Linked DNA regions of Oryctolagus cuniculus. The protein of the gene in region 1 purifies or fractionates together with the protein of each later gene. This does not show direct contact. Links are inferred from orthologs where the notes say so. Each region holds a gene or a part of one and is shown on either strand. Other genes may lie near its edges. The genes, in order: EIF4G3 and EIF3B.

The links.
Region 2: the proteins of EIF4G3 (region 1) and EIF3B purify together in Homo sapiens (affinity purification with mass spectrometry; 3 studies listed by BioGRID and IntAct, with this or other methods). This does not show direct contact. The link is inferred for Oryctolagus cuniculus from reciprocal best matches to the Homo sapiens genes EIF4G3 and EIF3B.

The regions. Positions count from the first base shown.
Region 1 is NC_091438.1:149,925,143-149,932,115, forward strand, and holds part of EIF4G3 (eukaryotic translation initiation factor 4 gamma 3), read left to right. Parts: intron 1-282; coding exon 283-429; intron 430-788; coding exon 789-1,025; intron 1,026-2,294; coding exon 2,295-2,399; intron 2,400-5,728; coding exon 5,729-5,861; intron 5,862-6,973. UniProt on the Homo sapiens protein: Component of the protein complex eIF4F, which is involved in the recognition of the mRNA cap, ATP-dependent unwinding of 5'-terminal secondary structure and recruitment of mRNA to the ribosome. Functional homolog of EIF4G1.
Region 2 is NC_091450.1:37,187,931-37,194,903, forward strand, and holds part of EIF3B (eukaryotic translation initiation factor 3 subunit B), read left to right. Parts: intron 1-1,307; coding exon 1,308-1,380; intron 1,381-2,597; coding exon 2,598-2,720; intron 2,721-4,716; coding exon 4,717-4,795; intron 4,796-5,538; coding exon 5,539-5,677; intron 5,678-6,973.

The DNA.
Region 1 (6,973 bases):
AGTCTAGTTAGGTAAAAAGAGGTCACAGGTGTAATGATATGATGTGAATTTCCGATTCAGCTAAAGGCATGGCTATAAAAGATGTATGAGAATAATATGTATCTGTTCTTTAGAATATTCAAGACATCTTATTGTTGAATCATGAAATGCCTGAAGCTGAATTGTGTATCCCTTGTAGAAAACCTACCTGTTTTTCAGTAGCATTATTTTGCACAATAATGAAAATAGACATTTTGAATGTCTTTAATCTTGCTGCTTTTACGTTTTCCTATCTGCGTGCAGCTCAAAGTACCGATGGCAGACAAGCCTGGTAACACAGTGAATTTTCGGAAATTATTGCTGAACCGTTGCCAGAAGGAATTTGAAAAAGATAAAGCAGATGATGATGTCTTTGAGAAGAAGCAGAAAGAACTTGAAGCTGCCAGTGCTGTAAGTGTATCATCAGAAAGACAGTGTTCACGCGTGTTGAGTGCTTCCAAGGACACGTGAGGCCGGGTACAGCATCTCCCCGCTTCCTTAAAGGGGTTCTGTTTTATTCCTCTTAGTGCTGAATGTCAGAGCAGCTCAGCTCTCCGCAGCAGCGTTCAGTCTAAACCTAGACTTGAGAGAGGGCGTTGGGTTCTGGAGATCTGAAATGCAGGAGGTCTTTGTGGGTGTAGTTCGTGTTTTGAAAAGTAAGTCCCCAGTCGCTGTCAGATCCTCACAGGGCATCTGACGCTCAGAACGAGTAAGGATCGTGAGGCATACAACTTTTCATTAAGATGCTCTTACTCCTTCTCACACGACAGCCAGAGGAGAGGACAAGGCTTCATGATGAACTGGAAGAAGCCAAGGACAAAGCCCGACGGAGATCCATTGGTAACATCAAGTTTATTGGAGAACTCTTTAAACTCAAAATGCTGACTGAAGCCATCATGCACGACTGTGTGGTGAAACTGCTAAAGAACCACGATGAGGAATCCCTGGAGTGTCTGTGTCGCCTGCTCACCACCATTGGCAAAGACTTGGACTTTGAGAAAGCAAAGGTAAAAATTCAGAAACTTTCCACAGAGGCTCTGGGTTGCAAAATACTCTCTCACCCCCACAGCTGAGGCTGTTAATTTCCCTTTGTCTATCTAATCATCAGTTTTTGGCCAGCATGTTCCCTGCCACATTTGCATTAGAGTCATAGAGGAGCAGGTTCCAAATTATACAGAAGACAATTTGTAGATTGTTCACATTATTTGTCACTTGTCTCTTTTCTTCCTCCGTAACTATTTCATAGGTCATTTATTTGTACAGCAAGTTTTAAGCTGAAATAAAAAAAAGAAAAGCTACTATGTGTCAGGCTCTAGGGTGGTACAGAAATGTGGAAAACCCAGTAGTTCACTTTTTTTTGAAGATTTATATTATTTTAGATAGAGATTGGTCTTCCATCTGCTGGTTCACTCCCCAAATGGCTGCAATGGCCATGTCTGAGCCAGGCTGAAGCCAAGAGCCAGCAGCATCTTCCAGGTCTCCCACGTGGGTGCAGGGACCCAAGCCCTTGGGCCATTCTCTGCTTCTTTCCCAGTTGCATTATCAGGGAGCTGTATCAGAAGTGGAGCAGCCAGGACTTGAACCTTATAGGATGCTAGCACTGCCAGCTACAGCTTATCCAGCTATGCCACAATGCTGGCCCCTGGTTTTCTTCAAGTTTATGCTCTGATTAATGGCCCATCTAGCTAACCATAATATAAGAATTCACCAAAAATACTATAATTCAAACATAACATAGTACTGTCCAAGTAAGGTTTGTGGAAATGAGAAGTGCTTCAAAGAAATAATGTCAGAACTGTTCCATAACATTTGAGTCAGCTAGAATTATGTTTAGCTATGACAGAAAATCCCAAGTACCTGTAGTTTCTACATTATTGAAGTTTTTCACTTATATAAGCAAAGTTCATAGATAAGTCCTTGTAGCTTACTGTTTCACATTCCTAAGGTAGAACATTAAGTCCTTAGAATTCTCAGCAGGAAAAGTAGGAAAAAAGGGGGACAAAGGACACAGCTACCTCTCTCATAAGGAAGGTTCCAGGGAGCTGCAAAATAGCATTTCCATTATATTCTGATCTATAATTAATAGCATAAAAAAGCCACCTGCTCAAAAGTCTGAAAAGTGTAATCTTTTCTTTGGGCAATCATATGGGCAATTAAAAATCCTGTCATATTATTCCTTAAACATTTAAAAGCTCTCTATAATGAAAAAAAATCTATATCATGAAATTACATTTGAATTCTTTAGCCAGAAATACTAATGATCTTGTTTCTTGTAGCCACGTATGGACCAGTACTTTAATCAGATGGAAAAAATTGTGAAAGAAAGAAAAACCTCATCTAGAATTCGATTCATGCTTCAAGATGTGATAGACCTAAGGCTGGTAAGTAGGAAAGAAAAGGAAATATACTACTAGTCTAAATTATTTTAATAAATTGAATAGGAGAAGGATGTCCTAACGTTAACATGTATAAAAACTTAATGCTGGTGCCAGTGCTGTGGTGTAGAGGGTAAAACCACTGCCTGTGGTGCCGGCATCCCATATGGGCGCCAGTTCTAGTCCTGGCTGCTCCTCTTCCGATCCATCTCTCTGCTGTGGCCTGGGAAAGCACTGGAAGATGGCCCAAGTGCTTGGGCCCCTGCACTCATGTTGGAGACCTGAAAGAAGATTCTGGCTCCTGGCTTCAGATAAGCCATTGTGGTCATTTTGGGGAGTGAACCAATGGCTGGAAGACCTTTCTTTCTGTCTCTCCCTCTCACTATCTATAAATCTGCCTCTTCAATAAATAAATAAAATATTTTCAAAAAAAAAACTTATGGTTGGGGCTGGTGCTGTGGTGTAGCAGGTTAAAAGCACAGTTTACAGCACCGGCATCCCATAAGGGCACCTGTTTCGAGTCCTGGCTGCTCCACTTCCGAACCTGCTCCCTGCTAATGCACTTCAGAAAGCAGTGGAGTGTCGCTCCCCCTCTTCGTGGAGGAACGACACTAAACCCTGCCTAGGCTTCATATCCGAGTCACGGCACCATTATGTCGCTCCCCCTCTTCATGGAGGAACGACACAGGACCCTGCGCTGTTCTTTTGTCTGCTCGGCCCTCCCCGGGTTTGCTGCTGGTTCTTCCCGGGTTGGCTACTGACCCTTCCACCTCCGTGGAAGGGCGGTCCCCCCTGCCACTTTCCCCACTTCCGCGGGGGAGCGGCACACCGCCGGCCGGCTCTCTCAGGGGCTGCTCAGATGTTCCTCAGGTGTTCCTGGTGCATGTTGTCTCTCTCCTCCTTTATAGTCCTCTTCCACCAATCCCAACTCTGCTACCCACATGCCGAGTACGCTGCTCTCCTCCAATCAGGAGCAGGATCAGCTCCTGCAGGTCATCACTCAAGTTGGCGAGAGGCAGCTGCGTAGAAGTTGTTACTCCCTTCTCAGCGCCATATTGTGGGAGAACAGATGCATAGAATAAGTCTTAATTCCAGTAATAGTCTAGTCCGAGTTGCTCCCCACAGTGGAGGATGACCTAAGTTCTTGGGTCCCTGCCACCCACATGGGAGACCCAGATGAAGCTCCTGTTTCCTGGCTTCAGCCTGGCCTAGTGCAAGCCATAGTGGCCGTTTGGGAAGTAAACCAGCAGATGGAAAACCTCTCTCAGTGTGTCTTTCCCTCTCTCTCTGAAACCCAGAGGAAGCTCCTGGCTCCTAACTTCAGGCTGGCTCAGCCCAGGTTGTTGGCAGCTACTTGGAGAGTGGGCTAACAGATAGAAGATATCTCCCTCTGTGTCTCTGCCTTTCAAATAAATAAATCTTAAAAAAAAAAAAAATGCTTCTGACTGGTGTTGCAGTGCAGTAGACTAGGTTGCCACCTGCAACACCAGCATCCTGTGTCAGAGCACTGGTTTGAGTCCTGGCTGCTTTGCTTCCCGTCCAGCTCCCTGCTAATGCACCTGGGAAAGCAGCAGAGGATGACCAAAGAACTTGGGACTGCCTCCCATGTGGGAATCCCAGATGGAGTTCTGGGCTCAGGGATTCAGCCTGGCCCAGTCCCATTTGTGATCATTTGGGGAGTGAACCAATGGATGGAAGATTCTTTGCCACTCTGCCTTTGAAATACATAAAATGTGTCTTTAAAATAAATAAACAAATAAATAAAATTAATGATTTTGCTTCAATACTCTCTGATCTTGAACTGGTGTATTCCTGAGAGAGTTAGGAACCTCTTAATTGTTGCGTGTTTCTACTCCTTACTTTGATTATCAGACTACATTGCAGTTTTGAAATAAGCAGTTCTGAATTCAGACTGTGGTCAATTAAATTTAGTTTTCGTGAGCTAAATGATCAGTCTGATCTTCACAATGAATGTTTGACTTTGCTGAGCCTTACACTTTTAATCTGTAAAATGGGGATGTTGTCTGCCTTGCAGATTTGTTGTAAAGATTCAGCGAGATCATTATGGAAAGTGCCCACATGTTGATGTTTTCTGCTCTATTGTTTTTCCTATAAACCCTCTTATTCTATAATAATGTTTTTCTCTTCTTATACCACATACAGTGTTTATCACTGTAGCCTGATTTCTTCTCTTAGTTAACTCCTGTAGGGAATATAGTGCAGCCAGCCCAAGGAGAGAAAGTAAATGCGGGGCACACCTCTTTCCTGTCTGAATCCAGCACTGGTGATGGTTCTCTGTTTTGCTAAAGCCCCGGCATGGCGTTGGGATCTCTCCTATTACCAAAGCCACTTGCATACTGGTGTGGTTTTTTTTTTTTTTTTTTTTTGACAGAGTGAACAGTCAGAGAGAGAGAGAGAGAGAAAGGTCTTCCTTTGCCGTTGGTTCACCCTCCAATGACCACCGCAGCCGGCACACCGCGCTGATCCGAAGGCAGGAGCCAGGTGCTTCTCCTGGTCTCCCATGGGGTGCAGGGCCCAAGCACCTGGGCCATCCTCCACTGCACTCCCTGGCCACAGCAGAGAGCTGGCCTGGAAGAGGGGCAACCAGGACAGAATCCGGTGCCCCGACCGGGACTAGAACCCGGTGTGCCGGCGCCACTAGGCGGAGGATTAGCCTGTTGAGCTGTGGCACCGGCCTGCATACTGGTTTAAATCTGTTTGCCATCCTTGCCTCTGTCTAATAAGTAGAAAATACTTCCCCACCCATGCCTTCAGCTCCTTTTACTTGTATCAGATGTTAGAACATTAGGAAATGGAACAGGAAAGTATGAAGAGGCAACTTTTGGCCTTAGTAGAGGGGATAACCAAAGGGCACAATGGTGTGACACTTTGTGCAGGATCCAGAACCCTGATATTGGAGGAAGAAGAATGCTAGTCATCTTCTAATTAGACTCCCTATGGAGTGTGATATGAACTAATAGAACCCCTAGATTAAGGCAATGCCAAGGAACCCTTGTCCTTCTTGACTCCTCTTCCCTCTCCTCCTTTCAAATGTGCAGAATAATGATAAAATACATTTGGGCCAGTCTGTCCATTTGCTGTTGGAATGTGCATTGTACAGTTAAGTTGGTCAGGGTTGATTGAGAAGAATTTAATTCTTAACTCTAATTACCATACTGTACACAGTGCCATCCACATGACAGATGGAAAACTGCCATAATCTCAGATTTTGTAGGTAGTTTATACTTTTCTAGCAGTGAAAATTAAAAACTTATAATTTAATTTTATTTTTATTTTCAGCATCTGGCTGATAACCTGATTTTTCACTTTTCTAGTGTAATTGGGTGTCTCGAAGAGCAGATCAAGGGCCTAAAACTATTGAGCAGATTCACAAAGAAGCTAAAATAGAAGAACAAGAGGAACAGAGGAAGGTGCAGCAGCTCATGACCAAGGAGAAGAGAAGACCAGGTGAGTGAGGAGTCCACTGCGCTTTAGAGGACAGGGAGCTCGAGGGAAAGGTGTTGGAGTATTCTAGAGGGCAGAGTGTGGAAGATGCCACCTGGGGTATTGGAGGGCCTGGTTTGAGTCACAGCTCCACTCCTGATCCACTTCCTGATAATTATATCCTGGGAATACAGTAGGATGCTGCCTCCAAGTACTGGGTTATCTGCCACCCACGTGATCCCAGATGGAGTTCTGGTTTCCTGTCTTTGGCCTGGCCCAGCCCTAGCTGTTGTGGGCATTTGAGGAGTGACAAAGTGACTAGAATATCGTTCCCTGTCTCTGTCTTACTACCTTTCAAATAAAAGTTTATAAAGACAATATTTAGATGTGAAAGGAATGCAGAGAGAATAACCTGAAGAAAAGATAGTAATTTTTAAAAGATTTATTTATTATTTGAAAGGCAGAGTTACAGAGAAGCAGAGGCAGAGAGAGAGTCCTCCATCCACTGGTTCACTCCCCCAATGGCTACAATGGGCAAAGCTGCACTGATCTGAAACCAGGAGCCAGGAACTTCTTCCAGGTTTCCCACACAGGTGCAGGGGCCCAAAGACTTGCTTTCCCAGGCCATAGCAAAGAGCTAGATTGGAAGTAAGGCAGCGGGACTCAAACCGGCCCATATAAGGTGCCAGCACTGCAGGCAGCAGCGGCCCCAAGATAGTAATTTTCACTGAAGTATTTCTACCTGGAGACTAGTTATTAGGTAAAAGCAGAAAATGCAGGGTCTAAAAATCATTTCTTTGACTACTTCAAAGCCACTAATAAGACTTTATTGAGCATTTCCTATGTATTATTGACAGAAAAAGAAGCGTGAAATATGGTTTCTGGGGCCGACACTGGCATAATGAGTTAACCCACCACTTGCAGTGCCAGTGTCCCATATGGGTGACAGTTCAAGATCTGGCTTCTCTACTTCCTTTTTTTTTTTTTTTAATATCTATGTATTTATTTGAAATTCAGAGTTACACAGAGAGAGGAGAGGCAGAGAGAGAGAGAGGTCTTCCATCTGCTGGTCCCATATGGACACCGGTTCTAGTCCCAGCTGCTCCACTTCTGATCCAGTTCTCTTCTAAGGCCTT
Region 2 (6,973 bases), on another chromosome or scaffold:
GCAGGCTGCGTGTGCTTAGCCCACTGTGCCCACGCCAGCCACCGTGATGACCCTGCTGGACACACAGCCGCCCCTCGTAGCTGAGCGCGCACAGCGGAGCAGGCGCCTCTCCTGGGCACCCAGCTCCCTCATGTTGCAGTAGAGTGAGTCTGCTGTTTTCTGTGGACACGCTTCATGCAGATCGGCACCCAGGTTGGCTTTTTCACATCATTTCTATTTAGCACAGCAAAATGTAGCCTAAAGGGGCCGGCGCCCTGGCTCACTTGGTTAGTCCTCTGCCTGCAGCGCTGGCATCCCATATGGGCACCAGGTTCTAGTCCCGGCTGTTCCTCTTCCAGTCCAGCCCTCTTCTGTGGCCAGGGAGTGCAGTGGAAGATGGCCCAAGTGCTTGGGCCCTGCACCCGCATGGGAGACCAGTGGGAAGCATCTGGCTCCTGGCTTTGGATCAGCACAGCTCCAGCCGTAGCGGCCACTTAGGGATGAACCAATGGAAGGAAGACCTTTGTCTCTGTCTCTGTCTAACTCTGTCAAATTAAAAAAAAAAAATAGCCTAGAATTTGCTTTTCTTTTTTTCTGTTTTTAACATGCACTTCCCCTGATGGAGTTAGCCAGCTCCGTGGCTGTTTGTTATATTCACAATGGTGTATGGCCAAAGCCACATTTTCCAGAATGTTCTCACGCAGAGGGTGCTGCATGCCTGTCAGCTGTCGCACTCCACAGCTCCCCTAGCTCCTGACAGCCTCTGCTTTTTCTGTCTGGCTGACCCCACTTGGGACGTCTCCTGTCGATAAAACCAGGGCTGGCGGCCTTGTCCGACAGCTGCCACACACACAGGGCATCTGTGTGCAGCGTGGGAGGAGCTGTGTTCATTTCCACCGCTGAGCAGTGTGCTCTCTTGCTAGGCAGACCATGCTTCATCCATCCTTCTGGGGTGGCCGTTGACCACTGAGGATTGTGCACACCTGGCGTTCTGTCACAGAGACGGCACCAGGACGGTGTGTGGTCCCAGCACTGCGGCTCCAGGGCACTGGAGTCCACTGCGGGCCTCCGGCAGTCAGCCTGAGGGGCCTGGGTGTGGCTGTAGGACGGCCCCCTTGGGTACTGGAGAGGGGCCTGGGTGTGGCTGTAGGACGGCCCCCTTGGGTAGAGCTGCACGTGGCTTAGCTGCCAAGGGCTCTTTGTCCCCACCTCCCTGAGACTAATTTCAGTCACTTGAGCTCCTCGCGAGTTCATCACATGTATAAAGTTAATCTCTTATTGCATTAATAAATGCTAGTTTTGGATGTCACTTTTGTTTTTTTAAACAGGGTGTTGTCACAAATTTTGAAATTTTTCGGATGAGGGAAAAACAGGTGCCTGTGGATGTGGTCGAAATGAAAGGTGAGTTTCATTACCGTCCTTCCTGGTTGTGTCGGCTCAGTGTCCTGCTGACCCTCCACTTCTGAACCTGCAGAGCGCCCAGGGCACGTGGCCGAGACTGGGCTCTGAGCGGGAGCGGCCGTCTCCGAAGCACACACGTGTAGACAAGTTCAGGTTTTGTGGTGTCCCTCGCAGCAGAGTGGGGGCCCTGTCGCTGCCCACGCCGGGAGCTCACTGCACAGGCGCTCAGCCTGGGGCGCAGACTCGCAGCTCATAAAGCTGCTTCGCTTTCTCCTAAGGACACGATATACTGTTTGGTTTCCGGTTGTTTGCTGCGTGCATTACTTGCTGTCCGCAGTGTTGATACCTCCCGCTCTCTCTGAGATTTACTTATTTGAGAAGGAGAGAGATCTTCCATCCTCTGGTTCACTTCCCAAGTGGCTGCAGTCAGCCGGTGCTGGGCCTGCCTGAAGCCGGTAGCCTGGAATTCCATGTAGGTCTCCCGTATGGGGCACAGGCTCGTCAGGCAGGGAGCTGGGTCAGACACAGCATTGCCCGAGACGCACCGCGACAGGCAGTCCATGAGCAATGCTCAGCCGCTGTGCCAGACGCGGGCTGCGCTTCGCGTGATCACTCGTGTCCTCACTTCCTGTCGTGCCTCTCCGCAGGAAGTCCAGCCCATGGCCTTTTCCTTTTTGTTGTTTGCACGGTCGCCCTGGGTGGCCTGTTGGGCATAGGATGTGATGTCAGGACGGGGTAGGCAGCCTTTTTCCTGCCATTGGGATTTTGTGTGTATTTTTAATTATTTATTTATTTGAAGGAGTTAGGGGAAGAGAAAGGTCCTCCATCCACTGGTTCACCCCAGATGGCTGCAGCGCCGGCAGCCGAGAGCTTTTTCCATGGGTGGCAGGGTCCAGGCATCTAGGTTGTCTGGCCGTGCAGAGTCGGCGGCGTGCAGATTAGCCGGCTGCAGGTTTCTGATTCTGAATCCCACAAGCAGTTCTGCATAGGCACGGGGCGTGGGGTCCCCAGCCGCACGGGACACGGGCTCCGCACAGCCCCCCGGGGTGACTCAGGAGGAGGCGGGTTTCCTGTGCTGCGGGTGGCTTCACGGCAGGGATCGCTCACACCTGGGGCTGGGCCCGCCCTCGCGTTGCTCTGGTCGCACAGTGAGGGGCATCTCGGGTCACACGTGGGAGTTGTTTGGATGACCGGGTGGCCATGTCTTGCTGCCGCAGAGACCATCATCGCGTTTGCCTGGGAGCCCAACGGGAGCAAGTTCGCCGTGCTGCACGGGGAGGCGCCGCGCATCTCCGTCTCTTTCTACCACGTCAAGAGCAACGGGAAGATTGAGCTCAGCAGTGAGTGGCCGGGCCCCTGCCTGCCTGGGGGCTTGCTCAGGGCCCAGGGGGCCGTCGGGCTGGTGCGGTCACACTTGTCCAGTCACACTTGTGGTCAGGCCTGCGTTCACACACAGCTGGGTGCGCTGTGGGCTTAGATGCCTCACAGATGCAGACAAGGGTGCTTCGTGTTCCTGGGGTGTGGGCGTCTGTGAGCTCCCGGCGGGCCCCTCGGCTCACATTCATGTTGCTGAGGTTGACCACCTTCTCCCTTGTTGTGAGTCGGGTGCTGTGGGCTAGGGGTCACTTCCTTGGATACCCGCCCGCCCCTTAGTCTGAGGCGGGGTCCTTTGCCCTGCCTCTGGGCTCCCTGATCCAGTGAGTGGGCTGGAAGCCAGCTCCCTGTGGCTGTGGTCCCACAGCGGTGCAGTGCCCCTCTCCCTGCCTCTCCTGGGGGTGCTGTGTCTCGGGCTCCCGAGGTGTGTGTGGTGCAGCACCCCTCCCTCTCCCTGCCTCTCCTGGGGGTGCTGTGTCTCGGGCTCCCGAGGTGTGTGTGGTGCAGCACCCCTCTCCCTGCCTCTCCTGGGGGTGCTGTGTCTCGGGCTCCCGAGGTGCTGTGGCGCGCATGGCAGTAGCTTGCTGCCTCCTGAAAGTCTCATTCTCGCTGTGGTGTGTGTGTGGTGGCCTCGGGCTGTGCAGCACACCGAGCACCTCCCCCGGGTCTGGCTGCCCTGCCGCGTGGAACCGCACCGTGGGTTCATCCCAGTCCTCAGAAGGAACTCGTGTGTGCTAGAGGCAGCGTTTCCCTAGAGAAGTCTGCAGAACTCAGTTCTCACGTGGCCGGAGCTTAGCATTGAGTGGTAGAATCAGTTCTGTGACGTTGGATGCGCTTCCATTGCTCTGCCATGTGAGAAGTCAGGCGGTTGGAGGCCACGAGGAGACCTGCGCTCTGTGCTACGAGCAGAGGGGCCTCCCCCTGCGCTGCGTGCCGGGGGCCCTGCCCAGGGTGCTCCCTGGCACGCGGTGGCACTCGGCGCTGTGCCTGTGTGTATTCCAGGGCTTCTGCCTGTTTTTCCCCTGACGAGTTCTTCTGTAACGTGTTCTAGTTTAAGTGAAGTTACTTGAAAGGCAGAGACCTCTCCCATCTACTGGTTCACTCCCCCAGTGTGCGCAGGGCCCTGAACTCGGGATCCAGCCGCGTGAGCCGCGGCCTCCCGGGCCCCCGGGCCGTTCTGGTCTGAGAACGCCGCCCTGTTGGGGCAGTGTCCTTCGAAGCACGTCTCCTCTCCTCTTGCTGCCCTGCTGCACGATGATTCTTTGAACGTGCCACAGGCCAGGAGGGAAGAGCCCGGGTTCCCGGCCCCGAGGTGGAGGCCCTGTGACAGCGGATGTTTGTTGTAATGGATGAACTCTCTGGGTAACTCCGTGAAGTGAAAAAGCGGTGTCAGTTTCAACGGACCCCTGCCCCTTTTTTCTTTTTTTTTTTTTTCCAGTGTGGAGCACAGCTTCAGGTGTACTGAGATGGGTTTTCCATAACTGCCTTTTTTTTTTTTTTTTTTTAAGATTTATTTATTTGAAAGAGTTACGTAGAGAGAGTAAAGGCAGAGAGAGGGGTCTTTGGTCTGATGGTTCCTTCCCAGATGGCTGCAACGGCTGGAGCTGTGCCGATCCCAAGCCAGGAGCTTCTTCTGGGTCCCCCATGCGGGTGCAGGGGCCCAAGCACTTGGGCCATCTTCCACTGCTTTCCCAGGCCACATCAGAGAGCTGGACTGGAAGAGGAGCAGCCGGGACCAGAACCGGTGCCCACATGGGATGCCGGCGCTTCAGGCCAGGACGTTAACCCGCTGTGCCACAATGCCCCCTCCCCCCCAATTGCTTTGAGAGCCAGCAAAGGCATGGGCTGTAGGTGGAGTCCTGACCCAAAGCCCCTTGTGCCAGATCCACCATAGCGGGCCGTGGGCAGTGGGCACCGTGATGCAGACTTTAACATACGGGTGCTTGCTTGCTTTCTTTCCAGAGATGTTTGACAAGCAGCAGGCAAACACCATCTTCTGGAGCCCCCAAGGACAGTTTGTGGTGCTGGCCGGCCTGCGGAGGTGGGTGGCCCAGCTGAGCCCATCCGTGTGGTCACAGGGAAAGGTGGGGGTGTCCTTGTGTCCCCTCACAGTGCGGAGTGTCTGTACGCTCCGGCGTGCGGGCCGAGGGCAGGCAGGGTCCGTGCTGGCACGCAGGTGTCATCCTCCGTGGCCTGCAGACCTGCACCTGTGGTGTCCTTCCCAGCATCCTCACCCACGTGTGCTCTCGCAGGAAAAACAGACCGCAGGTAGCGGTTTGACTGTTCCCTCTGGCCATTGTCACGATGAGCATTCAAGAGCACAGTTTCGCCTCTCCCGTTTCCTGTCGTTCCAGTGAGGCTTGTACATGGTGGAGAGGATGCCCTCTGCTGCCTGCCCCACCTCACTGTACACCGGGGCTGGGTTGGGGGTCCGGGGAAGGGTCGTCTGGCCCTGCCAAGGCAGCTGCGGGCAGCACTCGAAATTGAGTGAATCCTCAGCTGGCTAGTTTTCAGTTGCTGCTTTCCTATGGCCCACGAATGTTAGAAATTCCCAAACGGCCCCTGGAGAAAGGGTTCCCCACCCCTGCTGTGGAGGCGGAGCTCTGCCCATCCACCCCTGCAGCCTGGAGGCGCCTTGGCCCCCACAAGACGCAGAGCGGCAGCAGGTGCGGCCCGTCTTGTCTGGTGATGCTGGGAGCAGCTGAGGTCACAGGGCTTCGGTGGCTGCCCCCTGGCGCTGCCTGTCACCGCGCCATCGTGCCCTTGTGTCACGTTCCTCCACAGCATGAACGGTGCCTTAGCGTTCGTCGACACCTCAGACTGCACGGTCATGAACATTGCAGAGCACTACATGGCCTCCGACGTGGAGTGGGATCCGACCGGGCGCTACGTGGTCACCTCCGTGTCCTGGTGGAGCCACAAGGTACAGGCGCTGCCAGGCTCGGCTACCAGGCCCGGCTTCAGCTCCCCGTCTCATCAGCAAGTCCTGGCTTACTGAAGCTGTCCTCTGTGTGTGTAGCACAGAATAGGTGGGCGGCCGTGAATACAGGAAGAGGCGGGGTGGCAGACGAGGCGGGCGGCCAGGAGGAGCTGTGTCCGCCTAGGGCCAGGGACCCCTGCAAGGAGTCGGGTGGTCGGGGAGCAGGAGGTCCCCGCCTAGGGAGTTTGACTTCTCTGCCTCCGGAGGTCCGGTGCTGGTGGGCATGTCGGCTGGCCAGAGTCTGCACGCACTCGGTGCTACTGTGCTGGAGCTCTGAGCTTCATGTCTGGAGGTGATGGTGGCTGATGGAGGAGTGGGGTGTTGGACTGGGTGCCGATAGACAGGGCCCTAGGTGAATTGGGGTGGCTGTGTGTGGTGAGCTGAGCACCCTGCATTGGCCACCTTGTTTAGATGTCACCACAGTGAGACTGTCAGGATGCTTTTATTAAGAAGTGACACACTTGGCCGGCGCCGCGGCTCACTAGGCTAATCCTCCGCCTAGCGGCGCCGGCACACCGGGTTCTAGTCCCGGTCGGGGCGCCGGATTCTGTCCCGGTTGCCCCTCTTCCAGGCCAGCCCTCTGCTGTGGCCAGGGAGTGCAGTGGAGGATGGCCCAGGTGCTTGGGCCCTGCACCCCATGGGAGACCAGGAAAAGCACCTGGCTCCTGGCTCCTGCCATCGGATCAGCGCGGCGGCCATTGGAGGGTGAACCAACGGCAAAGGAAGACCTTTCTCTCTGTCTCTCTCTCTATCCACTCTGCCTGTCAAAAAAAAAAAAAAAAAAGTGACACACTCTGTTTTAGATACAAACACTTAGCTTCCCAAAAGTGCTTGTTTGCAATAAGGAGATTGTGCCAAAAGGGGCTTCAAGGCACTGCCTCTGGGAAGCTTCGTTGTAGAAAGAGAAGTGAGCAGAACTCAGCAGTGTGGTTGGTGATGGAGCGCTCTGTGTCCCGGCCCATGCTGCTCGTGGCAGACCAGGGGTAACAGGCCTATGCTTTGCGCGGCGCTGGTGTCGCCGCGTGCGCCCAGCACCCTGTGAGTCACCCCGTCTTGTCTTTGCTGGCACCCCTCGCCTGGCTGGAATGACAGCAGAGGCTGGGGCCACGGCTTCATTCACTGATGGAACGCGAGCCCTGGGGCATCGTTGGCAAGTGTGTTCTTGGTGCCACCGGCCCTGCCGACCACGAAGATCGTGGTCTTGGCTCTGGCGCTGCTGGCCGGGGGAGGGACGGGCAG